4 linked regions of the Anolis sagrei genome follow. The protein of the gene in region 1 purifies or fractionates together with the protein of each later gene. This does not show direct contact. Links are inferred from orthologs where the notes say so. Each region holds a gene or a part of one and is shown in the gene's direction. Other genes may lie near its edges.

Region 1 (6,993 bases):
CCAGGGCAGTTAAAGTGATGCCAAACTGCATTAATTCTCCAGTGCAGAACGCACCATGTTAGCTGCCTTGAGCTTTGCTTGAGAGAGAAAAAGTGAGATATAAATACCAATAACAATACTATGGAGATGCTTTACCAAGGGCGTATCTACATTGTTGAATGAATGCAGTTCAGCATTACTTTATCTGCCTTGGCTCAATGCTATGCGATCCTGGGAGTTGTAGTTTTGCAAGGTCCAAGGGTACTAAGATCATCTGGGGAGGCCCTGCTCTCGGTCCCGCCTGCATCACAGGCACGCTTGGCGGGGACGAGAGACAGGGCCTTCTCAGTGGTGGCCCCTCGGCTGTGGAACGCCCTGCCTGCAGATATCAGATCGGCTCCCTCCCTGCTGGCGTTTTGGAGGAAAGTGAAGACCTGGCTGTTCGAATAAGCATTTGATTAAACAGTGTAATTGAACATAGGAATACGGAATAATGGATGATGAGACTGGATTCTGATTTTACTGTTGAGGCACTAATTATTGTTATACGGATGTTAAATGATTTATGTTACAATTGTTCTTAATTGCCCTATGCTTGTCTCGTGATGTTTTGTATTGATGTTGTTCACCGCTTTGAGTCACCTGAGGGCTGAGAAAAGCGGTATATAAAATAAATAAATAAATAAATAAATAAATACAAACTGTAACTCCCAGGATTCCATAGCATTGAGCCAGGGCAGTTAAGGTGATGCCAAACTGCATTAATTCTACATAGCAATTGGTATATATTGCAATGATAATACTTTCCAACCTTTCTGCTATCATTTCATGTTTAAAATCCCTTGACGTTTGGCCTTCTTCTTCTTCTCTAGGATTATCATAAAGGGCTTATTAAAATGCTCATTTTGGAGAGAAGGGGCCCAGTTGGAGCTCACGCCTAGCAAGCCAGCTTTGATTTGTGCCAGAGTTTCATTCTGTTTGATGATTTGGCTCCTTGAAGTTGGAAGCAAACCATTTATTCAGCTTACTTTGTATTATTTGTTGGGTCTGAGCTCCCTCTTGCGTTTGCAAACACAAAAGCCACCCTGTACGGTTGAGCATCCTTTATCCGAAATGGACCACATTTCTGATTTTATCTGGATTTTGCCATCCTTGCATAGATATCATTAGATATCTTGGAAAGCCAACTCCCTAATGAACTTTCCAAACCTTCATGGGTACATCCACACTGCAGAATTAATGCAGTTTGACGCCGAACTGTCATGGATCATTGCTATTGAATTAAGTTTCTGTGTTTCTATTGCATTTTCATTTCTAAGAAATCAAATTAAGAAATCAAATGTATTATTAATATTGGTAATACTACTGTTTGTTTTTGTTGTATTTAAATCTATATAAATAAAAATGTAGTGTTCGTTTGTGAGATTAAGAGAACTCAAAAACCACTGGACGAATTGACACCAAATTTGGACACAAGACATCTAGCAACCCAATGTATGTCCTTCTCTAAAAAAATTGATTTTGTCATTTGGGAGTTGTAATTGCTGGGATTTATAGTTCACCTGCAATCAAAGAGCATTCTGAACTCCACCAATGATGGAATTGAACCAAACTTGGCACACAGTTCTCCCATGAGCAACAGAAACTACTGGAAGGGTTTGGTGGGCATTGACCTTGAGTGTTGGAGTTGTAGTTCAACTATATCCAGAGAGCACTGTGGACTTAAACAATGACCAAACTTGGCACAAATACTCAATATTTAGCGATTCGGCTGAAAAGGATGCAGAGCTGCAATCATTCGCCAAGCTAATCATGTGGTTACACAAATAAATGCCACTTTTATAGAAATGCAGAGTTGTGTGGTTCAAATCTCCCACTCCCCGCCCTCCACTTGGCTGATGCCACAACAGCTGGGAGGAGGCTCAGCTGCCCTCTGAGCGCGTGGGACAATCACAGGGCTGCTGCGGTGCGTCTGGGCCAATCAGAAGGGCTGAGAAATAAATAAATAATGTGGGACTGTCCAGAACATTGTCTGGACAGCCCTTCCTTTATTGCAGGAGTTCCTGCAATAAAGGTCTTGTCTGGATGGGCCCTCTGAGAAAGATTGCTGAAGGCCTCTCCCAGGAATGTGACCTTGTGAATCTTCATGGGACATCTTGGGCCTCTCGTCTGGGGTTAACTCAAGCCCAAGCAAACCCTCATCCCCATTGCTGACAGACCCAGGCCCAGAAAGCCCTTCATTTCCATTTCTGTCATGACCATCAGACACAATCACAGGCTGAACTACAACACCATACCCATTTTGTCACTTGCTATCTTGACATTATGTCCTCTCCATAAACTGAAATGATTTCACCATGAATCACAGTGGCGTTCTTGCCCTTAGCATTTAGGTAGCATATTACAGTGCGAACTTTGCACTTGGAGGGAAACAGAATGAGGGTGCACATCTCTAACCTTCACCAAAACGCCAGTCGATGAGCTGCTGACAACTGGCACTGCTCATTAGCTACATGGAAGTGATGCCAACTTCCCGAGAAAATTCCCTGCGAGAGCTACGTGCCTTGTAATCTTGTTTTCCAGATAAACCTTGTACTTTAAAAATGTATTGCATTTTAATTCTCACGAAATAAAAGCTATCACTACTTTTTATGTTTGCATTGCATTTAAATTCTTAAGAAATAAATTTATTATTATTCATAGTTTGTGTTTGATTGAATTTCAACTGTTAAGAAACAAAAGGTATGATTATTTATACTTTTTGTTGTATTACTTTTTAAGAAATAAAGGTGCTAATATTCATGTTTGTTTTATTGCATTTTAATTAATACAAATATTATTCACAGTTTGTGTTTTTATTGCATTTTAATTGTTTAAGAAACAAAAAGTATTATTAATATATATATATATATATAATAAAGGTGCTAATATTCATGTTTGTTTTATTGTATTTTAATTAAGAAATAAAACATATTATTATTCACAATTTGTGTTTTTATTGCATTTTACTTAAGAAACAAAATGTATTATTATATATATAATAAAAAGTGCTAATATTCATGTTTGTCTTGTTGCATTTTAATTAATAAAAATATTATTCAGTTTGTGTTTTTATTGCATTTTAATTCTTTAAGAAACAAAAAGTATTATTATTATATATATAATAAAGGTGCTGATATTCATGTTTGTTTTATTGCATTTTAATTAAGAAAATTAAAAAAATATTATTATTCAGTTTGTTTTTATTGCATTTTACTTAAGAAACAAAAAGTATTATATATATCTATAATAGTGCTAATATTCATGTTTGTTTTATTGCATTTTAATTAAGATATAAAATTATTATTATTCAGTTTGTATTTTTATTGCATTTTACTTAAAAAACAAAAAGTATTATTATATATATATATATATAAAAGGTGCTAATATTCATGTTTGTTTTGTTGCATTTTAATTAAGAAATAAAAATATTATTCACAGTTTGTGTTTTTATTGCATTTTAATTCTTTAAGATACAAAAAGTATTATTATTATTATTATTATTATTATTATTATTGATGCTACTCCTCCTTTTACTTCTCCATTGAGAATGCAGCTCCCTCATTGGCTACCCACTTTCCCCCGTCGCCCCGCCTCTCTCTCTTTCCCCGGCTCTGATTGGCTATCCGGGCCCTTTCCCCGCTTGCCTTTTTGCTCACGCGCACTTCGCATCAACTCAGTCCCTTCTTTCCTCCCTTATTGCCTACCCACTTTCCTCCATTGCTCCGCCCACCTCCCTTTCCTTGGCTCCGATTGGCTACCGGGCCTGCCTTATCACGACTCCACTTTGATTCCCCGCCCTTTTTTCTGCGCAGGCGCAATTTGGTAGTCTCAATCTTTTTTTTTTTCCTCCCTCAGCTCTATTTAGAATTCAGCTTTCTTATTGGCTAACGACGCCTCCCGTCGCTCCGCCTCCCGGCTGTCCTCTACTGCGCACGCGCATCGAGGACCACGCCCACTTTTCCGCCTCCTTTTTTCCTAGAGCCGCCTCGCGCTCGCCGTTGCCGTCGCGCCCGGATGACGTTGCGCCATGGCCGCCCTGCTTCGCCGCCAGTAGGGAGGCCATTGCCGCGCCGCTTCAGGGAACGGCTTCTCCCCGCCTGCCCCTTCCCGCCCGCCCACCCGCCTGCCTGCCTTTGGCGGCTGCCGCTCCCCGACCCCTCCCCGCCGGGCCAGGTGAGGAGCGCGAGGCCTGAGGCCTACTCAGCCCGCACAGAGATATCTCTCTCTCTCTCTCGGGAACGAATTCTGCCGGGCCTTTGGAGCCGTATGTTAGTGCTCTGTCTGTCTATCTGTTTATCTCTCTATCATAGGATCCTCGAGCTGGAAGGGACACCCAATTCAACCCCGGGATGTGTATGTGTATAGCAGGGCATGAACAAACTTTGGCCCTCAAGGTGTTTTGGACTCCCAACTCCCACAATGTAAGGGAGTTGGAGTCCAAAACACCAGGCCGAAGTTTGCCCATGCTTAATGTATAGAGATCTATCTATCTTTCTATCTATCATAGGCTCCTAGAGCTGGAAGGGGCCCCAAGGGCCATCCAGCCCAGCCCCTGGATGTGTGTTTAGAGTTCTTTTTATCTACCTACCTATCTATCAGTCAATCAGTCATGGGATTCTAAAGCTGTAAGGGACCCCCAAGTGCTACCCAGTCCAGACCCTGGATGTGTGTTTAGAGTTCTCTTTTTCAGTCAGTCAGTCAATCAATGTATGTGTCTAGAGATCTGTCTATGTCTCTATCTTTCTATCTATCATAGGATCTTAGAGCTGAAAGGGGCCCCAAGGGCCGTCCAGTCCAGACCCTGGATGTGTGTTTAGAGTTCTCTTTTTCAGTCAGTCAATCAGTCATGGGATTCTAAAGCTGTAAGGGACCCCCAAGTGTTACCCAGTCCAACCCCAGTATGTATGTGTCTAGAGATCTGTCTATGTCTCTATCTTTCTATCTGTCATAAGATTCTAGAGCTGAAAGGGGCCCCAAGGGTCATCCAGGCCAGATCCTGGATGTGTGTTTAGAGTTCTTTTTATCTATCAGTCAATCAATCATGGGATTCTAAAGCTGTAAGGGACCCCCAAGTGCTACCCAGTCCAACCTTGGTATGTATGTGTCTAGAGATCTGTCTATCTATCTATCATAAGATTCTAGAGCTGTAAGCGGCCTCAAGGGCCATCCAGGCCAGATCCTGGATGTGTGTTTAGAGTTCTTTTTATCTATCTATCAGTCAGTCAATCAATCATGGGATTCTAAAGCTGTAAGGGACCCCCAAGTGCTACCCAGTCCAACCTTGGTATGTATGTGTCTAGAGATCTGTCTATCTATCTATCATAAGATTCTAGAGCTGTAAGCGGCCTCAAGGGCCATCCAGGCCAGATCCTGGATGTGTGTTTAGAGTTCTTTTTATCTATCTATCAGTCAGTCAATCAATCATGGGATTCTAAAGCTGTAAGGGACCCCCAAGTGCTACCCAGTCCAACCTTGGTATGTATGTGTCTAGAGATCTGTCTATCTATCTATCATAAGATTCTAGAGCTGTAAGCGGCCTCAAGGGCCATCCAGTCCAGACCTTGGGTGTGTGTTTAGAGTTCTTTTTATCTATCTATCAGTCAGTCAATCAATCATGGGATTCTAAAGCTATAAGTGCTACCCAGTCCAACCCCTGTATTTATGTGTCTAGCGATCTGTCTATGTGTCTTATCTTTCTATCCATCATAAGATTCTAGAGCTGAAAGAGCCATCCAGTCCAACCCCTGGATGTATGTGTGTATCGAGATCAATCAATCAGTCAACCATAGAATCGTTACCCCTGTATATATGTGTGTATAGAGATCTATCTATGAATCTATCTATCTATCATAGGATCCTAGAGCTGGAAGGGACCCCAAGGACTACCTGGTCTAACCCCTGATGTCTGTGTGTATAGAGATCTATCAATCAATCAACCATAGAATTGTTACCCCTGTATGTATTTGTGTATAGAGATCTATTGATGTATCTATCTCTCTATTTATCAGGATCCTAGAGCTTTAAGGAACCCCAAGGGCCATCCAGTCCAACCCCTGGATGTATGTGTGCTTAGAGCTCTATCTATCTATCTATCATAGGATCCTAGAGCTGGAAGGGACCCCAAGGGCTATCCTGTCCAATCCCTGGATGTATGTGTGTATAGAGATTTATCTATGAATCTATCTTTCTGTCTATCATAGGATACTAGAGCTGGAAGGGACCCCTAGGGCTGCCCAGTCAAACCCCTGGATGAATTTTAGGGTTTGTTCTTTTTATCTATCATAGGATTCTAGAGCTGGAAGGGACCCCAAGTGCCCCCAGTGCAATCTCTGTATGTGTGTATAGAGGCCTATCTATTTATCATACGATCCTAAAGCTCTAAGGGACCCCAAGGGCCATCCAGTCCAACCCCTGAATGTATGTGTTTTTAGATATCTTTATATCAATCATAGAATCATTGAGTTGGAAGGGATCCCAAGGGTCATCCAATGCAGCCCCTGAATGTGTATTTAGAGTTCATTTTATCTATCTATCATAGGATTCTAAAGCTGCAAGGGGATCCCTGGTCCAACCCCTGATGTCTGTGTGTATAAAGATCTGTCAGTGAATCAATCAATCATAGAACAATTACCTCGTTATGTATGTGTGTATAGAGATCTATTGATGTATCTGTCTTTCTATTTATCATAGGATCATAGAGCTGTAAGGAACCCCAAGGGCCATCCAGTCCAACACCTGGATGTATGTGTGTTTAGAGCTCTATCTATCATAGGATCCTAGAGCTGGAAGGGACCCCAAGGACCACCCAGCCTCTGCTTAAAAACCTCCAGATAAGGAGATTTCCTCACACTCCGAGGCAGTTTATATTCCCCTGGTAACCAGGTACCCTGAAATGCCATCCAATCCAACCCCATTCTGCCAAGCAGGAAAGACACAATCCTAACAGATGGACTCTGCTTGAAAAATCTCCAG
Region 2 (7,034 bases), about 25 Mb from region 1:
AAAGGTTTGAAAGTGACAGTTAATTTTCAGTCAGGAGGATGAGACCCTGAGAAGAGGGCAGAGTCAGTTAGGGCTCTGTGGTGTGAAGCGGTGTAAATTCAGTTAGTTCTTAGTATTTGTGAATATTTCTTCAGCAAGGGAGCTGAAGGGAAACCTCGTTAGATTGCTTGAGTTAAAAAGAATCTAACAGAGGGGGTTTTAGGATCGCCAGTAGTGGAAGACTGGAGATCAGTGGTTTGATCCGGTATAGGACAAACAGTGTGAATATTCACAATAGGGAACACTGAAATAATAAAGCACTTCACTGAAGAAGGAGTTTATAAGATTGTAACATCAGAAGCCTGAATGTATCTCGACCAAGCCATATTGTAACCATCAAGCATGTGTCAAGTTCAACATCTCAATATTGCAACAATTACGCTTTGTTAATAATAAACTTGTTCTCTTTGTATTTTAAACCTGCCTCCTCCATTGATTTTATGTTCGGTGCATTCCACTCTACCAAAGTTACCTCACAACGTAAATAGGGATAAACAGAGACTTTAAGACCAGCGTCTCTAAACTTATTGGTGGCAGTTTAATTTAACATTCTAGGAACTTTCTTACATTTTTGGTGCCATTCGGTGAGATAAAGACTTCTTTACATATTTTTGGTGGCATTGATACGTTCTTTACAAGGTGAAAATGGAATGTTGGAGGACAGGAAAAGAGATTTAAAGATGGGCTCAAAGCCAACCTTCAAAACTCTGGCATAGACACTGAGAACTGGGAAGCCTTGGACCATGAGTGCTCCAGCTGGAGGTCAGCTGTGACCAGCAGTGCTGCAGAATTTAAAGAGGAACGAATGGAGGGTGAAAGAGAGAAACGTGCCAAGAGGAAGGCGTGTCAAGCCAAGCCCAACTGGGACCTCCTTCTACCTGGAAACCGATGCCCTCACTGCGGGAGAAGATGCAGATCAAGAATAGGGCTCCATAGTCACCTACGGACACACCCTGGAGGATTATGCTACTCAGACAACAATAGTCCACCTACAATCAAAGAGCATTCTGAACCCCACCAATGATGGAATTGAACCAAACTTGGCACACAGCTCTCCCATGACCAACAGAAAATACTGGAAGGGATTGGTGTGTAGTGTCCTTTGGTTTTGGAGTTGTAGTTCACCTACATCCAGAGATTCTGATGTGCCTTCCCAGAAAAGGATAACCTCCAGCACTATGTCCCAGAAGCACTTTATTAGAGTTTAAGACTCTCTGCACATTGCCCTTGCCCAGAATCCCAATATATCACCTTTCACACCCAGCACTTTTTAATCTGTACCCATCACTGGCCCGGCCCTGGTTTTATTGTGTAATGTTTTGTTTTCGTTATTGCTTATGTTTTTAATTTGCTTTGCATCGTATTGTTATTGTTTGTTGTTGTTGTTGAGGCCTTGGCCTGTGTAAGCTGCATTGAGTCCTTTGGGAGATGCTAGCGGGGTACAAATAAAGTTTAATAATAATAATAAAAGATCACTGTGAACTCAAAAATGATGGATCTGGACCAAATTTTGCATAAATACTCAAATACTCCATATGCCCAAATGTGAACACAGATGGAGTTTGGAGAAAATAGAATCTTGACATTTGGGAGTTGTAGTTGCTGGGATTTATAGTTCACCTACAATCAAAGAGCATTCTGAACCCCACCAAGGATGGAATTTGGCCAAACCTCCCACACAGAACCCCCATGAGGGCCACAGCAATAATATTATAAATATATGTTTACGCTGTATGTTTTGGGGATGTTACTTGGAAACCGGCCTGAGTATCCCTCAGGGAGATAGAGCTGTATACAAAGAAAGTTTATTATTATTATTATGATCACTAGTGGGGGTGGCACCGGGGAAGGGGGAATATCATGTGGTTGTTTATTCGGCTGAGGGGGGAAAGGAAGTGTCGTGAGGCGGTGAGGGATGGCGGGAGTGGCAGGCCAAAGGCCTAAGAAAGGAGGCTTGTCCTGGGGTGTCTTCCCCGAGTGGGCGGACCTGGTCTGCTGGATGGCGGCGGCGAGGCTGACGAGGGAGATCTGGCTGAGGTCGCGGCGGAGCTCCTCGCCCAGTTCCCGCGACTCCCCGGCCTGCACGCTCTCCCGCTCCGAGTCCTCGTCCGCCATCACGACCAGGCCGCGCAGAGAGACCGGAGACGAGGACGAATCCATGGCGACGAGGAGGAGAATGGCCTTCTTGGGGTGGTGGTGGTTGCTGTTGTTGTGGTTGCTGAGGCGCCGAACTCCCTCACTTCCGGCCACGCCCCCTCACTTCCCTTCTCTTCTGGCCCCGCCTATTTCCCCTAGGACCCGGATGGGAGTGGCAGCCTCAGCTTTCCCTCAGCTATGGCCACGCCTACTCTGTCACGTGACTCCCTTCAGTAGAAAGGCCGCTTTTCCTCACTTCTGGCCACGCCCCCTCAAGTGAATTTTAATAAGCAGGAGTTTCCTTTACTTATGGCCCCGCCTACTCCGTCACGTGATTCCCTTCAGTAGGAAGGTCGCTTTTCCTCACTTATGGCCCCGGCTACTCTGTCACGTGACTCTCTTAGGCTAAAGTCGGCTTTTCCTCACTTCTAGCCACGCCCTCTCGCGTAAATTTTAATAAGGAGGAGGGGCTTCCTTCACTTAAGGCCCCGCCCACTCCGTCACGTGACTCCCTTCACTAGATAGGCCGCTTTGCCTCACTTCTAGCCACGCCCACTCATGTACATTTTTAATAAGGAGGAGCTTCCCTCAGCTATGGCCCCGCCTACTCTGTCACGGGACTCCCTTCAGTAGAAAAGGCTGCTTTGCCTCACTTCTAGCCACGCCCTCGCATGCGAATTTTAATAAGGAGGAGGGGCTTCCCTCGCAATCGGCCACGCCTACACCGTCACGTGACGCTATTAAGTAGAAAGGCCAACTTTCCTCAGTTCTCGCCACGCCCTCCCAAGTGAATTTTAATAAGGAGGGGGAGCTTCCCTCGCAACAGGCCACGCCTATTCTGTCACGTGACTCCCTTTAAGTAGAAAACGCTGCTTTGCCTCATTTCTAGCCGCGCCCTCTCAATGTGAATTATTAATGAGGAGGAGCTTTCCTGACTTATGGCCCCGCCTACTCCATCACGTGATCCCTTAGTCTAAAGCCCGCTTTGCCTCACTTCTAGCCACGCCCTCTTATGTGCATTTTAATAAGGAGGAGCTTCTCTCGCAACCGGCCACGCCTACCCCATCACGTGACTTTCCCTAGCTTTGGATTGGAGTCCTTCTCTTTTGTCCCCTCCCTGATTACAAGGGCCTGCTTCTGGCCCCGCCCCTTGCCTACGTCACTCCTTGACTACAAGAAGCCGTTTCTAGCCCCGCCCTCTTTTTTACGTCACTCTGATTACAAGGGTCCGCTACCGGCCCCGCCCCTTTGCCCTACGTCACTCCCTGTTTACAAGAGGCCGCTTCAGGCCACGCCCCCTTTAGCTACGCCACTCCCTGATTACAAGACACCGTCTCTGGCCCCACCCCTTTTGCTACGTCACTCCCTGATGACAAGAGGCCGCTTCTGGCCCCGCCCCTTTCTCTACGTCTCTCCCTGATGACAAGAGGCCGCTTCAGGCCACGCCCCCTTTAGCTACGCCACTCCCTGATTACAAGACACCGTCTCTGGCCCCACCCCTTTGGCTACGTCACTCCCTGATGACAAGAGGCCGCTTCTGGCCCCGCCTCTTCGCCTACGCCACTAATCAGGGAGTGGCGTAGGCAAAGAGGCGGGGCCAGAAGCGGCCTCTTGTCATCAGAGAGGCTGCTTCAGGCCCCGCCCCGTTGCCTACGTCACTCCCTGATTACAAGAGGCCGCTTCAGGCCCCGCCCCCTTGAGTACGTCACTCCCTTTGGCCCCGCCCTCTTCTTCACGTGACCCTCTCTAGCCCTGATTGGGAGTAGTATCCGCTTTCCCGGACTTGTCACGTGACTATCTCATTTCCGGCCCCGCCTCTTCCTGCCTGTCTCCGTGACGCGACTTCCTCTCCTGTGGGCTGGGCCTCTGTTGCGCCTGCGCGCCGGAAGCCCTTCCCCGTCCCTCCCCGGCCTGTGCCGGCGGACTTTCTCGGGGCCGGTGGGCGCCACGCCGCCTTCGCCTCCTCCTCCTCCTCCTCGCTTCCCCCCTCGGGCCTGGCCCTGGCGCCGCTCTTCCCCGCGGCCGGTCCGCTCCCGTTCCCGCTCCGGGCCTTCCTCAGGTGGGCGCCCGCCTCGCACGCCTCGCACGCCCGGCCCTTCCTCCTCAGGCCTTCCGCCGCCTCCGCCTCCTCCTCCTCGGCCGCCATGCCGGGCCCCGCCGCAGGGAGCCGCGCCCGCGTCTACGCCGAGGTCAACAGCCTCCGCAGCCGAGAGTACTGGGACTACGAGGCCCACCTCCCCGCCTGGGGGTAAGCGAACCACGCCATCCATCCCAGGCCTAGGCCACCTTGGGCCCTTCCTCCCGCCTTCCAGGGGGTTTGGACTACAACTCCTATCATTCCTCACAGCCTCAGGCCCCTTCCTTTTCCCCCTCAGCCGCTTAAGCGGCTGAGGGGGAAAAGGAAAGGGCCTGAGGCTGTGAGGAATGATGGGAGTTGGAGTCCAAACCCCCTGGAGGGGGGGGGGGAGGGCTCAAGGTGGGCCAGGCCTGGGATACAACTATCTATCTATTTCAGGCCTCCCTCCCTCCCTCCAGTGGTTTTGGACTCCAACCTCTTAGGAATGATGGGAGTTGAACTCCAAATCACCTGAAAGGTGGGTGGGTGGGAGGGCCAGGCCTGAGCTGCATCTCCATTGGTATCTCTCTCTATGTACCTGTATCTATATCACAATAGCTATATCTGTATATACAAACAATAACAAATATCTGGATATTTCTGTCTGTGTCTATCTCAGACCTCCCTCCCTCCAGTGGTTTTGGACTTAGGAATGATGGGAGTTGAAGTCCAAATCACCTGAAGGGTGGGTGGGTGGGTGGGAGCGCCAGGCCTGAGCTGCATCTCCATTGGTATCTCTCTCTGTGTACCTGTATCTATATCACAATAGGTACATCTATATATACAAACAACAACAAATATCTGGATATCTCTATCTCGGGCCTGGACTACAACTCCCACTTTTTAGGAATGGTGGGTGCTGAAGTCCAAAACTACAGCTATATCTGTATATACAAACAACAACAAATATCTGTATCTATCTGTCTATATCTATCAGGCCTGGGACACTTTTTAGGAATGGTGGGAGTTGAAGTCCAAAACTATATCTGTATATACAAACAACAACAAATATCTGTATATATCTGACTATATCTCAATCCTGGGCCATCTTGGGCCCTCCCTCCTGGTGGTTTGGACTACAAATCCCACTTTTTAGGAATGGTGGGAGTTGGTGTCCAAAACTATAGCTATATCTGTATATACAAACAACAACAACAACAAATATCTGTATATATCTGTCTATATCTATCTATCTATCTCAGGCCTGGGCCATCTTGGGCCCACCTTCCCTCCTGGTGGTTGGACTACAACTCCCACTTTTTAGGAATGGTGGGAGTTGAAGTCCAAAACTATAGCTATATCTGTATATACAAACAAGAACAACAATCTATCTATATCTATCTCAGGTTTGGGCCCACTTTGGCCCTCCCTCCCTCCTGCTAGTTTGGACTACAACTCCCACTTTTTAGGAATGGTGGGAGTTGAAGTCCAAAACTATAGCTATATTTGTATATACAAACAACAACAACATATATCTGTATATATCTGACTATATCTCAGGCCTGGGCCATCTTGGACCCTCCGTCCCTCCCTCTAGTTTGGACTACAACTCCCACTTTTTAGGAATGGTGGGAGTTGAAGTCCAAAACACCTGGAGATAGGGAGGGAGGGCTCAAGGTGGCCCAGTACTGATCTACATCTATATTTATCTATCTCTGTGTGCCTGTATCTATATCTCTGACTATAGTTATCTATCTGAGGCCTGGGCCATCTTGGGCCCTCCGTCCTTCCTGCTGGTTTGGACTCCAACTCCCACCATTCCTAACAGCGATAGGAGTTGAAGAGCAAAACACCTGAGGGAGGGCCGAAGGTGACCCAGGCCTGATCTACATCTCTAGCTATCTGTATATAATAATAATAATAATAATAATAATAATAATAATAATATTTATTTATAACCTGCCACCATCTCTGGGTGGTTTGGACTCCGATGCCTGCACCTGTTAGGAATGGTGGGAGTTGAACTCCAAATCACCTGAAGGGACGGAGGGCCCAAGGTGGCCCACGCCTGATCTGCATCTCTATCTATTTGTATCTGTATCTATATAATGATGGGAGTTGGAGTCCAAAACCCCTGGAGGGAGGGTGGGCCAGGCCTGGGATACAACTCTATCTCTCTCAGGCCTCCCTCCCTCCAGTGGTTTTGGACTCCACCTCTTAGGAATGATGGGAGTTGAACTCCAAATCCCCTGGGGGGTGGGTGGGAGGGCCAGGCTATAGCTCTATCTGTATCTATATATCTATATCTATCTCAGGCCTGGGCCAATTTGGGCCCTCCCTCCCTCCCTCCAGGTGTTTAGGACTCCAACTCCCATCATTCCTAACAGCCAGTAGGAGTTGAAGACCAAAACACCTGAGGGAGGGCCCAAGTTGGCCCAGCCCTGATCTACACCTCTATCTATAACTATGTATGTGTATCTATATAAGTATAGCTGTAATTATATCTGGACCTACATCTCTAGCTATAACTATTTCTTTATCTATATCTATTTGTCTGTTTCTATGTAACTATAGCTATAACTATATCTGTATCGCTATCTGACCATATCTATCTATCTCAGGCCTGGGCCAATTTGGGCCCTGCCTCCAGGTGTTTTGGACTCCCAACTCCCACCATTCCTAAAAGCCAGTACGAGGTGAAGTCCAAAACACCTGGAGGGAGGGCCCAAGGTGGCCCAGGTCTGATCTATATCTATATCTATCAATCAATCTGTATCTATTTCTATGTACATACCCGTATCTA
Region 3 (7,131 bases), on another chromosome or scaffold:
CTGAAATGTATAAGCTGTACTTTTATTCTGCCTTATTCTTAAATATACTACGGTAAATATAAGAAAGTAAACTGTTTGACTCAAGCCGGAATGCTTCTCAGCCTCAGGCAAATAATCAGACCTCACAACCTCTGAGGATGCCTGCCATAGATGAAGATGAAACGTCAGGAGAGAAGGCTTCTAGAACATGGCCATGTTGTTGTTAGATGTTAGGTGATCCCTCGTTGGCCGAGTAGGATAGTCTTCCAGGATCAGTTTTCTGGTGGATCTGTAAGTGACTATGGAGCCGTACTCTTGATCTGCATCTTCTCCCGCAGAGAGGGCATTGGTTTCCAGGTGGAAGGCGGTGTCGGTCGGGGTTGGCTTGATGCGCCTTCCTCTTAGCATGTTTCTCTCTTTTGCCCTCCATTCGTGCCTCTTCAGATTCTACAGCACTGCTGATCACAGCTGACCTCGAGCTGGAGCACTCAAGGGCCAGGGTTTCCCAGTTCTCAGAGTCTATGCCAGAATTTTTAAGGTTGGCTTTGAGCCCATCTTTAAATCTCTTTTCCTGTCCTCCAACATTTCATTTGATATTCTTGAGTTTGGAGTAGAGCAACTGCTTTGAGAGACAATGGTCGGGCATCCAGACAACATGGCCGGTCCAGTGGAGCTGATGGCAGAGGACCATCACTTCAATGCTGGTGGTCTTTGCTTCTTCCAGCACGCTGACATTTGTCCGCCTGTCTTCCCAAGAAATTTGCAGGATTTTCTGGAGGCAGCGCTGAACATGGCCATACAGCCCGAAAAGCCTACAACAACCCAATATAACAAAAGATAACAATAGCTCTCAACTACCCAACTGCAGCCTCCCCAATAGGCATCTTTGCTAAATAGCCAAGACTACAGAGATCAGCTTCCATTGTTCTCACAATCCCATCATCCCCACCCTGGACCCCTGCTGGCATGGAATGCTAGCACTTCCTACAGACTCCTCTCTGTCCATACTACTTTCCCTATCTGGCTGGGAGGGGATTTCCAGCCACATCAACAGAGCTCGGCCAACCAGAAACAGAAGAGGGATGGTTCAAACTGGAATAATGAACATTGTGTATAAAAACTGTTGTGCAGAGCACATGCTCTCTTATGCTTGTAATTTTTTGGAGCAGGAGTTTACAAGCATCATCTTGGCCAAGATTAAATAAATGCCTCTGTCCTATGTCTTAGCTTCACTTTTGTTATTATGGTTGTCACAACTCACCAGGCCTTTCCCTCTCATTTTACTCCAGTCTAAATTCCATATCTGTCCATTCTCAACAAGTTGTGATAATTTCATTCAAATGCATTTTAAAAAAACCCAGAAACAAACTAGGTTTTTATTCGAAACTGGCTTCTTCATATTTCCATGAAGAAAATATTCCCTGGGTGGTAAGAAAAAAACACATACAAAAATATGACAGAATACTGAAGCACCCTTCAAACTGTAACAAAAAAAGGGGGTTAAGACTGCTGTCTTTGTGGCACTTTTCCATCTCAAAACTGTCCCAGGTTATGGCATGAGCCCTATTAGTCTGTGTATTTAACCAAATAAATTAACAAACTCCAATCCCCTGACAGTGGGTTAAACAGAGCCAGCATCACACTGCATCCCAGTAACTTCTTCCATCTTCCTAGGGTTATCCACTCATCTTGTATTTATGCAACACCTCTCTCCTATATCTGTCTCTCAATGACACGGACAAACTTCGTCCCTCCAGGTGTTTTGGACTTCAACTTCCACAACTCCTAACAGCTGGAGAGCTAAAGTTTGTCCATGCTTGCTCAATGACCATCTACTGCTAATACATAACTTGCCACTTATCATCACCATACCCACCACCTTTGCATTTCTATGGCAAGTCACATACACAGAGTCTGAGGAAGCAGATGGACTGTTTTCCCACTGCATAATTATAGTCGTCTGACAGCTAGGCCCAGTGCTTGGGATTTAGGAGTTTTAAGTTTGTTTCCCAGGGAGGCTAGAATGGAAGCAAGCTAAACACTTTATATTCAAGTAGGTATGAGCCGGGGGTGTTGTGTGGCGTTTAATAGGTATTTGATAGGTATTTTGAACAGTTTTTAATTTTTTTTAAAAAAAAATAGATTTAACCACAGTCAGTCCTCGAGCTGCAAACATGCAACTTACAAATGACTCCTAGTTAAGAACAGGGGTGAGCCAACAAGAAGTGAGAGAAATCTTTCCCTTGGAAGGGAAATTAACTTCTGAAAGAGTCATCATGTGAAAAAAGGTGTCTCCAGTGATGCTTTATCAGCAATCTTATTTCCAGAAGTCAATTTTTTTTCAAAATCCAATTATCATAGGGACAGAAAGTGAGGTGAAATCCTCTGAACGGGGCCACTGACAGCAAAACAAACACCATGGCGGTGTAAACCCTTTCCTATGCTATCCAAAGCTAAATAATTTATAGAGAGAGAGGGGAGGGGGGGGGGGAGAGAGCTGGAGTTACACTTTTAAAATGTACCTGTTCCAGCTAACAAACAAATTCAGCTTAAGAACAAACCTACAGAACCTATCTTGGTAACAACTTGGGGACTGCCTGTATATTTCTGTTCTAGTGTTTATATAGTTTAGGTTCTGATTTGTATATTGAATTTTTAGAATGGTTTGCTGCATTGAGTCTCTTTTTAAGAGTAAAGATGGGATCTACATATACTGATAATATAATTCTGCAGTGCAGCTGCTACCATTTTTCTCTCTTATTTAGCCCCAAATATGCCACAAGACCCCTTTTAATTCACATGTAACCAGAATATCAAGGGAGATAATCCACAATAGCCGTTTTGAACTGGGTTATCTGAATCCACACTGTCATATAATCCAGTTCAATGAGGAATTTATACACCTGTGTATTTATTTATCATGTCAGTAGCAACCAGACAATTGGATTACATTTTAAACAAATTTTTAACAAACAGACAAAACAGAGTTTGCAAGCTTGGTAGTTGATTAAATGTCCTTTGACCAGTATCTGGCCACTTGGGAGTGCCTCTGGTGTTGCTACAAGAAGGTCCTCCATTGTGCATGTGGCAGGGCTCAGGTTGCATTGCAGCAGGTGGTCAATGGTTTGCTCTTCTCCACACTCGCATGTTGTGGATTCCACTTTGTAGCCCCATTTCTTAAGGTTGGCTCTGCATCTCGTGGTGCCAGAGCGGTCTGTTCAGCGCCTTCCAAGTCGCCCAGTCTTCTGTGTGCCCAGAGGGGAGTCTCTCATTTGGTATCATTGAGGCTCTGGGTTTGAGCCTGCCAGTTTTGGACTCTCACTTGCTGAGGTGTTCCAGCGAGTGTCTCTGTAGATCTTAGAAAACTATTTCTTGATTTAAGTCGGGGTGATTTGAATGCAATATTCCTGCTTCTTGGCAGGGGATTGGACTGGATGGCCCATGAGGTCTCTTCCAACTCTTTGATTCTATGATTCTACGTGCTGGCTGATACCCAAACAAGGGATGAGCTGGAGATGTCTCTGCCTTGGTCCTTTCACTATTGGCTGCTACTTCCCACCTGCGTAGAAGGAGCCTGATACTCATCTAAAATGGCTACAATTAACTGTGGAGTATAAAATCCACATTAAACTGGGTTATGTGGCAGTGTGGACTCAGGGCCCTTCCACACAGCCTTATATCCCAGAATATCAAGGCAGAGAACCCCACATTGAGTGTGGAGTCTGATAACCCAGTTCAAAGCAGATATTGTGGGTTTTTCTGCCTTGGTATTCTGGGTTATATGGTTGTGTGGGAATACTATAAGAGCTGCAGTTTTACAAGGCCTTTAGCCTTCTCTGCCAAAGCAACCCTTTTAGAGTTACTTCATAGCAGTTGAAAGTAGTGTCAAACTGCATTAATTCTCCAGTATAAAGGCGCCTTATTTCTGTGAACGCGATCCCACAAAATAAGGGGTCTTATGATGGACTCGGAAGGGAAGCCCCGCTTACTCCTGCGCTGTATAAAAGCTGAAGCTGCGGCGTCCCTCTCGGTTTCCCCGCCTTCCCCTTGCCGTTCCAGTGCGCCTGCGCAAAGGGCTCTCGCGCGGCCACTCCTCCCATCTCCCCCTCCCAACTCCCTCCTTCCGCCCCCGAAAGCGGAAGTGGACGTCGAGAGAACAAGCGCGCGCCGCCCCCCCCCCTCCATCTCGCTGGCTGCGCTTCTTCGAGCTCCACAAAATGGCGAAGATCGCCAAGACGCACGAAGGTAAGAGAAAAAGAGGGTGGTTTCCGTTTGCGGCTTAAAACCCCGGCCGCTTAGGCCTCGAAGTCTGAAGGCGCTGTTTTTCCCTCTCGAAGGGCGGCGCTCCTTGGCTCCAGGAAGCTGAAGGGAAAGGGCGCCTGAGCGGGCCAGGCCTTCGCGTAATGGCGTCGTCGCTGAGGTGTCTCAAGGCCTCGCCGCTCCTTCCCCCTCCGCTCCAACTATTTCGCGTGAACCCGAGTGGCCGGGAGGGCAGCGCAGAGGAGCGGGGTTGAGGAAATCGAGGCCCGCGTGTTCTTCAAGCCAGGCCTCGAGGAAGCAGTCGTGGCCTCTTCCTCCCTTGCGCACGCAAAATTGTGAACATATGGGAAGGGGAACATCCTTTTCTACGTTTTCTTCCTGGGAGGCAGCCTTTGTGCCTCCTTGTGGGTCGTTCTTTAATTTAAAAATAGGCCTGTTAAAATGCAGGTTGGAGGAGGAAGGCTCATCGTAGAATTAACTCCGTTTGACTCCACTTTCAACAGGAGGCCCTTCCACACAGTGCTATATCCCAGAATATCTAGCAGAAAATCCCACATTATCAGAATGTGGACTCAAATAACCCTGATCAAAGTAGATATTGTGGGATTTTCTGCCTTGATATTCTGGGCCATATGGTTGTGTGGAAGGACACTGAGATATCTGGCCCCTTCCACACAGCTGCATAAAATCCACTTTGAACTGGATTATATGGCAATGTAGACTCAATTAACCCAGTTCAAAGCAAATATTGTGGGATTTTCTGCCTTGATATTCTGGGCCATATGGTTGTGTGGAAGGACCCTGAGATATCTGGCCCCTTCCACACAGCTGCATAAAATCCACTTTGAACTGGATTATATGGCAATGTAGACTCAAATAACCCAGTTCAAAGCAAATATTGTGGGATTTTCTGCCTTGATATTCTGGGCCATATGGTTGTTTGGAAGGACCCTAAAATGTCTGCCCCCTTCCACACAGCTGCATAAAATCCACATTGAACTGGATTATATGGCAGTGTAGACTCAATCCAGTTCAAAGCAGATATTGTGGGATTTTCTGCCTTCATATTCTGAGCTATATGGCAATGTGGAAGTGCCCTGAGTCCACACTGCCTCATATTCCAGTTCAAAGCAGATAATGTGGGGGTTTAGGCGTCTGTGTGGAAGAGACTTGCCATGTCTCAATGCACTGGGATCCCAGGAGTTGTAATGTTACAAATCCTCCTGGCAAAGAGTGCTCGTGCCTCGCCAAAACACAACCCCCAGAATTCCATAGCATTTAGCCGCAGCAGTTAAAGTCACGTCAAACAGCTTTCATTCTAGACTGTAGAAGGGCCCACAGTGTTCTGAGGCCCCTTCCACACATGTGCATAATATCCACATTGAATAATAATAATAATAATAATAATAATCTTTATTTATACCCCGCCACCATCTCCCCAAGGGAACTCAGGGTGGATAACATGAGGCCAAGCCCGACAATTATAATAAAGCAAAGAAAATACAAACAGCAAAACTAATAACATCAAATAAAATAAAATGCAAAATAAAATAATACAGTAGGGTAAACACAGGATATGAAATAAAATAAACACAATGGGCTGGGCCAGATGAAAGGGATAGAATTATAAAACCCTGGGTGAGATAGGTAAATAGAGTAGTGTATCTGGTCGGAGATTCAGATGGGACAACGATGGGGTTTAATTCTCACTAGGGGATGTGATAAAGCGCATCAAAAGGACAAATTTGTACTGGGACGGTCATGGTATGGGGATTTGTTATTCATTCTTCAAAATCACGTCGAACAGCCATGTTTTCACATTTAACTGGATTATATGGGAGTGTGGACTCAGATAACACAGTTCGAAGCAGATATTGGAGGTGATTTGTTGTAATGATTGTGTGGAAGGGTCCTGAGCTGTCTCTCTGCAAGCTTTAAGGAGGATTTGCTTGTGGAATCCATGACCTAAATTCAGTTATTAGTCCCAACTGGAAAGTGAGTCACTGCTCCCCAAGCGGCCATCTGTGTTAGGGCCCATCCACACAGCCATATAGCACAGAATATAAAGGCAGATAATCCAGAATGGATTATCTGAGTCCACACTGCCTTATAATCCATTTCAATGTGGATTTTATACAGTTGTTTGGAAGGGGCCATAGGATTATCTGCTTTGATATTCTGGATTATATGAGTCTATACTGCCACATAATTCAGTTCAAAGCAGATAATTTGGATTTTATATAGTAGTGTAGAAGGGGCCTTTATGTAAGCGCCACCAAATCATTGAGTCAATTCCGATTTTGGCCCATGATTTTTCCATTGATACAAATGAGGAAATGACTAATCCATTTATATAGATGGGGAAATAATTACTCCATTTAGGTTGCTGTGAGTTTTTCAGGCTGTATGGTCATGTTCCAGTACCATTCTCTCAATTTTTCCTGCTTCTATGGCAGAGATCCTCAGAGGTATTGATATAAATGGGGAAATAACTACTCCCATAAGGAACATGCTACCCCTCCAATTTCATGTAATTGTTTGCATTCATATTGTAATTATTGTCTGTCAAGAAGTGCCTATCCATTTCAATATCTATGTGTTCACAAAATATGAGTAAGTTTGGGTTTGTTTTTCAGTTTAGACACTGTGTTTTGAGCAGTATGTTTTGAACTCAGAACACATTGAGAATTCATCTGTTGATGAGCATTAAACAACAAATGTAATTCGAGAATTACAGTAAAAATTAGCAATTTTTTTCCTGTGGCTGACTGATTAGTATGAGTTTGAATGAGCAGTATAGTACACAAATATTCAAGATTGAATATTCTTGTTAAAATAAAGCATTGGATTCTACCTTTCATGCAGGAAGAATATTATATGCTATGCAGGAAA
Region 4 (8,007 bases), on another chromosome or scaffold:
ATCTCAGTAGCTCAGGACACAATTGCAGTACCAGTTGAGTTATCTGAAATACTTGGGGCCAGAAATATTTGGACTTTTTGCAGATTTTGGAACACGTACATGTACATATGGAAATATCTTCAAGCTTGGACCCAGTCTAAACATGAAATTCACTTATGTTTCATGTACATATTGCCTGAAAGTTATTAGTCACAGTATTAAAAAATGTTTGTATGAAAGGAAGTTTATGTACATTGAACAAAGGTGTCACTATCCAAGCCACTCATGTGAACAATATTTGAACTTAGAGGATTTCAGAGTTCCAGATAAGGGATATTGTTTATTGCTTGTTGTTTAATATTGCTTAAACTGTTTTTAATTTGCTTTAGGTTGTGTATTGTTATGTTATATTTTGAGGCCTTGGCCTTTGTAAGCCGCATCGAGTCCTTCGGGAGATGCTAGCGGGGTACAAATAAAGTTAATAATAATAATAATAATAATAATAATAATATTCAACCTGTATTGGTATCCTGTAACATTTTCAGAACAATTACTTTTCCTCTTGCATCATGCATTGCATACTGATGGTACATTCTTTTGCCACATATTGTTAGCTTTAGGCCCATCTTTAAACCTATTTTGTTATTCACCAACATTCCATTTTCCTAAGTTTGAAATAAAGTAACTGCTTTGGGAGACAGTAATTGGGACAATTACATGTAATTGCATGGAAGTGGAAGAAGACAACAGAATAGGAAGGACAAGAGACCTCTTCCAGAAAATTAGAAACATTGGAGGTAAATTTCAGGCAAAAATTGGTATGATAAGAAACAAAGATGGCAGGGACCTAACAGAAGCTGAAGAGATCAAGAGAAGGTGGCGAGACTATACAGAAGATCTGTATAGGAAGGATAACAATATCGAGGATAGCTTTGACGGTGTGGTGAACGAATTAGAACCAGACATCCTGAGGAGTGAGGTTGAATGGGCCTTAAGAAGCATTGCTAACAACAAGGCAGCAGGAGATGATGGGATCCCAGCTGAACTGTTTAAAATCTTAAAAGATGATGCTGTCAAGGTGATGCATGCCATTTGCCAGCAAATATGGAAAACACAAGAATGGCCATCAGACTGGAAAAAATCAACTTATATCCCCATACCAAAAAAGGGAAATGCGAAAGACTGCTCAAACTTCCGTACAGTGGCCCTTATTTCTCATGCCAGTAAGGTAATGCTCAAGATCCTGCAAGGAAGACTCCAGCAATACATGGAGCGAGAGTTGCCAGATGTTCAAGCTGGGTTTAGAAAAGGCAGAGGAACGAGAGACCAGATTGCCAATATCCGCTGGATAATGGAGAAAGGCAGGGAGTTTCAGAAAAACATCTACTTCTGCTTCATTGACTATTCTAAAGCCTTTGACTGTGTGGATCATAATAAATTGTGGCAAGTTCTTGGTGGGATGGGCATCCCAAGCCACCTTGTCTCTCTCCTGAGGAATCTGTACAAGGACCAAGTAGCAACAGTCAGAACTGACCACGGAACAACAGACTGGTTCAAGATTGGGAAAGGCGTACGGCAAGGCTGCATACTTTCACCCAACCTTTTTAACTTGTATGCAGAACACATCATGCGATGTGCGGGGCTGGATGAATGCAAAGCTGGGGTGAAAATTGCTGGAAGAAACATTAACAACCTCAGATATGCAGATGACACCACTCTGATGGCCGAAAGCAAGGAGGAGCTGAGAAGCCTTCTAATCAAGGTGAAAGAAGAAAGCGCAAAAGCCGGGTTGCAGCTAAACGTCAAAAAAACCAAGATTATGGCAACAAGAATGATTGACAACTGGAAAATAGAGGGAGAAACCGTGGAGGCTGTGACAGACTTTGTATTTCTAGGTGCAAAGATTACTGCAGATGCAGACTGTAGCCAGGAAATCAGAAGACGCTTACTTCTTGGGAGGAGAGCAATGTCCAGTCTCGATAAAATAGTGAAGAGTAGAGACATCAGACTTGCAACAAAGATCCGCCTAGTCAAAGCCATGGTATTCCCTGTAGTCACCTACGGATGTGAGAGCTGGACCTTAGGGAAGGCTGAGCGAAGGAAGATCGATGCTTTTGAGCTGTGGTGTTGGAGGAAAGTGCTGAGAGTGCCTTGGACTGCGAGAAGATCCAACCAGTCCATCCTCCAGGAAATAAAGCCCGACTGCTCACTGGAGGGAAGGATACTAGAGACAAAGCTGAAGTACTTTGGCCACATCATGAGGAGACAGGAAAGCCTAGAGAAGACAATTATGCTGGGGAAAGTGGAAGGCAAAAGGAAGAGGGGCCGACCAAGGGCAAGATGGATGGATGGCATCCTTGAAGTGACTGGACTGACCTTGAGGGAGCTGGGGGTGGTAACGGCCGACAGGGAGCTCTGGCGTAGGCTGGTCCATGAGGTCACGAAGAGTCGGAGACGACTGAACGAATGAACAACAACAATTGGGACAACATGGCTAGTCCAGTGAAGTTGATGGTGGAGAATCATCATTCTAAGAGGAAGACATGAAGCAAACCCTTGTCATCTGGAAATTTATGTCCTCAATGTGAAAGACCATGTGGTTCCAGGCTAGGACTGACCGCCAAGACTCTACCTCTGGAAGACAATCATACTTGGCAGGGACTGATCGCCCATGATGATGACTGATAATGCAATATAAATAAATGAAAAGCCATTTATGAAAATAACAACTTTAAAATATGACATTATATTGATACACTTACAGGAAAAGTGGCCTGAGGACAGTGTTGTACTGGTCTCAGGGTCTTTAAGGTTAAAATTCCAGGACTTTCTGATTAGCAGAGTGACAATGTCATCTCTCCTCTTTGACTCAGTTCTCGCCTTTTCTTTAGAGATGAAAACCCTATACTAGTTGCAGGTTGGGGAAAGGGGGTTGTCCAAACAATAATACACTGTTTGGAGTGTCTTTATTGTAATACATAATATTTTGGGAGGGTTTGTTCTGAAGGGGCGGGGTTTCTGGGAACCCTTGTTATTGTTGCTATGTGCCATCAAGTCAGTCTTATGAGTATCTTATGAATCATAGCTTTCACTGAGTCATACATAACAGCACTGCTCTGGTTTTGCATATTCAGCGCTTCAGCTTCCTTGACTGAGAGCCCATCCACACAGTCACATAACCCAGAATATCAAGGCAGATAGTCCACAATATATGCTTTGAACTGGTATCTGAGTCCACACTGCCATATAATCCAGTCCAATGTGGATTTTATACAGCTGTGTGGGGCCTGAGTCAATCCACCTGTAACACAGGCCCTCCCCTCCTCTTTATCTAGCGTTATTGCCTTTTCTTGTGAGTCATGCCTCTTCATGATTATGTCAAAAGATTTATAGCCTCATTTTCATCAAGGAAAGGGGAAAGAATATATTCAAAAACACAGCTAAGGGAGGCCTGCCTTAAATTATTTTGGAGCCAGGCATGTGCTTTTAAAGAGAGTCTTTCCCCTTCACTTTATTTCTGATCCTTTTTGACCCCTTCTTTGTTTTTCTTGTTCTGCAATAGCTCAGTGGAAGGGAGGTTTGGCTGTAGATTTTTCTTCTCAATTTTAATTAACTTAGTATTTAATCCTGCTTTTACATTTTGATTTTAATCCAGTTTCTGGTAATTATTTAATGCTTGATAGTTGTTGTTTTCTTTGAGCCCTTCTATTTTAGGAGCCATGAGGAGAGCCCAGTAACAAATAAAATTTATTATTATTATTATTATTATTATTATTATTATTGTGTCATTGAAGGCTTTCATGGCCGGAATCATTGGGCTGCTTTAAGTTTTTCGGGCTGTAATAATAACCCATTATTATTATTATTATTATTATTTGTCATATATGCTGCAGTAGTTTAGCAGGAAGAGTTTCTTTGGAAGATGTAATTATCCCCAGTTTAATACTAGCTTTCTGCACAGTTTACCTTTACTTATTAATTAATCCTACTATTTTCATTTTAAATCAGTTATTTTAATCGTTACTTATTATATAATCCAGATTATCAAAGCAGATAGTCCTCATTACCTGCTTTTGAAATGGATTATGAGTCTATACTGCCATATAATCTTGTTCAAATCAGATAAACTAGATTTTATATGGCAGTATAGAAGGGGTGTTGGTATCTGTCTGTATCTTGTCATATAATCCAGATTAAAATAATCCATATTATCTGTTTTGAACTGGATTATATGAGGTCCCTTCTATACTGCCATACAAAATCCAGATTATCTGATCTTAACTGGTTTATAGGAGGCCCCTTCTACACTGCCATAAAACCCAGATTATCTGTTGAACTGGATTATATGGCAGTGTAGACTCATATAATCCCAATCAAAACACATATTAGAGATTATATGGCAGTGTAGACTCATATAATCCCAATCAAAACACATATTAGGGATTATATGGCAGTGTAGACTCATATAATCCCAATCAAAACACATATCAGGATTTGTATGGCAGTGTAGACTCATATAATCCCAATCAGAACACATATCAGGGATTATATGGCAGTGTAGACTCATATAATCCGAATCAAAACACATATCAGGGATTATATGGCAGTGTAGACTCATATAATCCCAATCAAAACACATATCAGGGATTATATGTCAGTGTGGACTTATATAATCCAGATCAAAGCAGATTTTAGGGATTATATGGTAGTGTAGAAAAGGCTGCCGTTAGCTAAACTTCCCTATTATTCTTGACAGGAAGTTCTTCTAGGAAAGAACTCCCCGCTTGTTACTTTGCCGGAGTGAAAGGATGGGGACGCCTCTAACCCGGTGCCTGCTGGGAATTGTAGTCTGTTTGCAAGTAGCCCCAAGCGCTTGATACGGCCAATGGCATTGGCAAGACTACTATTCCCGGCATGCATCACGGAAAAGTGCTCCGAGGCGAATTGAGAAACGCACGCCGCAGCCGTCCCTCAGCAAATCTCGCGAGATCTCCCCTTGCGATCTCCGCGTCCCACCCCCGCTGACTCTAATTAGGGGCCGCGCGGTGGCCGACGGGAGCAAGGGTTTCTCTCCTCTTCGTTCCCCTCGCGAGGCTTGGTGCTTGCCGATTTACACCGCGGATCATTCGGCGTTTGGGGAGAACGGGACTGGAAGCGGGGGCGAGAAGCGAGGGAAAGCCCCCCCCCCTCCTTCCTCAGGGCAACCCTTCCTCGGAGCGCTTTGACAAAATGGCGGGCGACCTTCGCGCTGCCCGCGAGGCCTGCCGGGACTCGTAGTCTTTCCCGCCCTTCCTGTGAGCGTCCGCGGGCCCGGCTTCCTGAGGGGAAGGACTACGTTTCCCATGATCCAACGGGGGAGGAGAAGGGGCAGACGGGAGCGAACTGGACGGCCGTGAGGGGACAGCGCAGGCGGCCCTCCCCCTTTCCCCGTCACCCTGCGCCGCCGCGGCTTCGTGCTGCCGCGTCGGATGAGGTAGTCGCGCGAGCCAGTGGCGCAGGCCGCGGCCTCCCTTGGGCTGCGCGAGGGAGGCAGGCTGGGTGAGGGAGAGGCCTACTCCGCCGAGGAGGCCTCGGTCTTCCCAGCTGCGATTGGTAGGGTGGGGATTGGGGCGGGGGGGCGGCGAGGACGCCGAGTGGCGGGCTTTTTTTTTGGCCAGGCCTTGAGCTGGAGGGACCTGCGCGGTGGGGTTGTTTTCGCCGAGGGGAGCGGGGTTGAAATGGGGTGGTTTTAGCCAGGCCGGAGAAGGTGTGGGTGGGAAGATAAGGGAGCCTTTTAGGCCCACGGAGGGAGGGCATCTGCAAGTCAATACGAAGGTAGAAGGCAGCACGAAGCTTAAAACGGGAGGGGGGGGGGGTTGTAACCAAATATCAAGGCAGGAGACATATTTCTTCTTAGAGTAAATACAATATCAGGAGAGGAGGCATATTCCTTTTTAGAGTAAATACAATATCACAACAGGAGACCTATGCCTTCCTAGAATAAATACAGTATTGGGACAGGAGACATATTCCTTCCTAGAGTAAATACAATATCAGGACGGGACGCATATTCATTCCTAGAGCAAATACAATATCACAACAGGAGACAGATTTCTTCTTTGCTTAAATACAGTATCAAGACAGGAGATGTATTCCTTCTTAGAGTAAATACAATATCAGCACAGGAGACATATTCCTTCTTAGGTTAAATCCAGTATCAAGACAGGAGATGTATTCCTTCCTAGAGTAAAAACAATATCAGCACAGGAGACATATTCCTTCTTAGAGTAAATACAATAGCAGGACAGGAGGCATATTCCTTCTTAGAGTAAATACAATATCAGCACAGGAGACATATTCATTCCCAGAGTAAATACAGTATCAGGACAGGAGACATATTCATTCCCAGAGTAAATACAGTATCAGGACAGGAGACATATTCATTCCTAGATTAAATACAGTATCGGGACAAGAGTCATATTCATTCCTAGAGTAAATACAATATCAGGACAGGAGACATATTCATTCCTAGAGTAAATACAGTATCAGGACAGGAGACCTATTCCTTCCTAGAGTAAATACAGTATCAGGACAGGAGACATACTCATTCCCAGAGTAAATACAATATCAGGACAGGAGGCATATTCATTCCTAGAGCAAATACAATATCATGACAGGAGAGATTCCTTTTTAGAGTAAATACAATATCAGGACAGGAAACCTATTCCTTCCTAGAGTAAATACAATATCATGACAGGAGACATATTTCTTCTTAGCTTAAATCCAGTATCAAGACAGGAGATGTATTCCTTCTTAGAGTAAATACAATATCAGGACATGAGACATATTCCTTTTTAGCCTAAATCCAGTATCAAGACAGGAGACGTATTCCTTCTTAGGGTAAACACAATATCAGGACAGTAGACACATTCCTTCTTAGCCTAAATCCAGTATCAAGTCAGGAGATGTATTTCTTCAAAGAATCAGGAGGCTTAAGGGGAGGGGAAGGTTGCAACCAACCATCGAGATGGGAGACATGATCCTTCTTAGAGTAAATACAATACCAAGAAAGTGAACATATTTCTTCTCCGAGTAAGGAGGCTTAAGGAAAGGGGAAGGTTGCAGTCAAACATCAAGACAATAGACCTATTCCTTCTCGGAGTAAGGAGGCTTAAAGGGAGGGGAGGATTGCAACCAAGCATCAAGATGGGAGCCATGTTCCTTCTTAGAATAAATACAGTATCAAGACAGGAAACATATTCCTTCTTAGAGTAAAGGCACTATCAGGACAAGAGATGTTTTCGTTCTTTCTTAGTCTAAATGCAGCATCAAGACAGAAGATGTAGTCCTTCAAAGAATCAGGAGGCTTAAGGGAAGGTTCCAAAGAAAGCATCAAGATGGGAGACATGATACTTCTTAGAGCAGTGGTTCTCATCCTGGGGTTCCCAGATGTTTTTGGCCTACAACTTCCAGAACTCCCAGCCAGTTTACCAGCTGTTAGGATTTCTGGGATTTGAAGGCCAAAAACATCTGGGGACCCCAGGTTGAGAACCACTGTCTTAGAGTAAATGCAATATGAAAACAATAGACATGTTCCTTCTTAGAGTAAGGAGGTTTAAGGGGAACAGAAGGTAGCAGCCAAACATGAAGATGGAAGACATGTTTCTTCTTAGCGTAAGGAGGTTAGGGGGAGGGGAAAGTTGCAACTAAACATCAAGATGGGAGCCATGTTCCTTCTTGAATGTAAATACAACAAGACGAGAAATATTCCTTCTCAGGGCCCTTCCACATAGCCATGTATCCCAGAATATCAAGGTGGAAAATCTCACAATATCTGCTCTGAACTGGGTTATCTGATCCACACTCAGATAAAGTGGAATTTTCTGCCTTGATATTCTGGGATATAGGGCTGTGTGGAAGGCCCTTAGAGTAAAGACAATATCAGGACAGTAGGCGTATTCTGTCAAAGAATCAGGAGGCTTAAGGGGAGGGGAAGGTTGCAACCAAACATCAGGCCAGTAGATATATCCTTTCAAAGAGTAAGGAGGC

The links.
Region 2: the proteins of ZC3H18 (region 1) and CSNK2A2 purify together in Homo sapiens (affinity purification with mass spectrometry; 3 studies listed by BioGRID and IntAct, with this or other methods). This does not show direct contact. The link is inferred for Anolis sagrei from reciprocal best matches to the Homo sapiens genes ZC3H18 and CSNK2A2.
Region 3: the proteins of ZC3H18 (region 1) and SF3B1 purify together in Homo sapiens (affinity purification with mass spectrometry; 3 studies listed by BioGRID and IntAct, with this or other methods). This does not show direct contact. The link is inferred for Anolis sagrei from reciprocal best matches to the Homo sapiens genes ZC3H18 and SF3B1.
Region 4: the proteins of ZC3H18 (region 1) and SRRM2 purify together in Homo sapiens (affinity purification with mass spectrometry; 3 studies listed by BioGRID and IntAct, with this or other methods). This does not show direct contact. The link is inferred for Anolis sagrei from reciprocal best matches to the Homo sapiens genes ZC3H18 and SRRM2.

Annotation. Positions count from the first base shown.
Region 1 is NC_090028.1:26,528,264-26,535,256, forward strand, and holds the start of ZC3H18 (zinc finger CCCH domain-containing protein 18), read left to right. Parts: upstream 1-3,987; 5' UTR 3,988-4,194; intron 4,195-5,956; exon of another isoform or gene 5,957-5,976; intron 5,977-6,993.
Region 2 is NC_090028.1:1,403,548-1,410,581, reverse strand, and holds the start of CSNK2A2 (casein kinase II subunit alpha'), read left to right. Parts: upstream 1-4,024; 5' UTR 4,025-4,319; coding exon 4,320-4,423; intron 4,424-7,034. Other genes in the region: CFAP263 (cilia- and flagella-associated protein 263), read right to left, coding at 2,027-2,199.
Region 3 is NC_090021.1:178,747,673-178,754,803, forward strand, and holds the start of SF3B1 (splicing factor 3B subunit 1), read left to right. Parts: upstream 1-4,111; 5' UTR 4,112-4,196; coding exon 4,197-4,224; intron 4,225-7,131. UniProt on the Homo sapiens protein: Component of the 17S U2 SnRNP complex of the spliceosome, a large ribonucleoprotein complex that removes introns from transcribed pre-mRNAs.
Region 4 is NC_090026.1:23,851,140-23,859,146, forward strand, and holds the start of SRRM2 (serine/arginine repetitive matrix protein 2), read left to right. Parts: upstream 1-4,988; 5' UTR 4,989-5,517; exon of another isoform or gene 5,518-5,571; intron 5,572-8,007. UniProt on the Homo sapiens protein: Required for pre-mRNA splicing as component of the spliceosome. As a component of the minor spliceosome, involved in the splicing of U12-type introns in pre-mRNAs.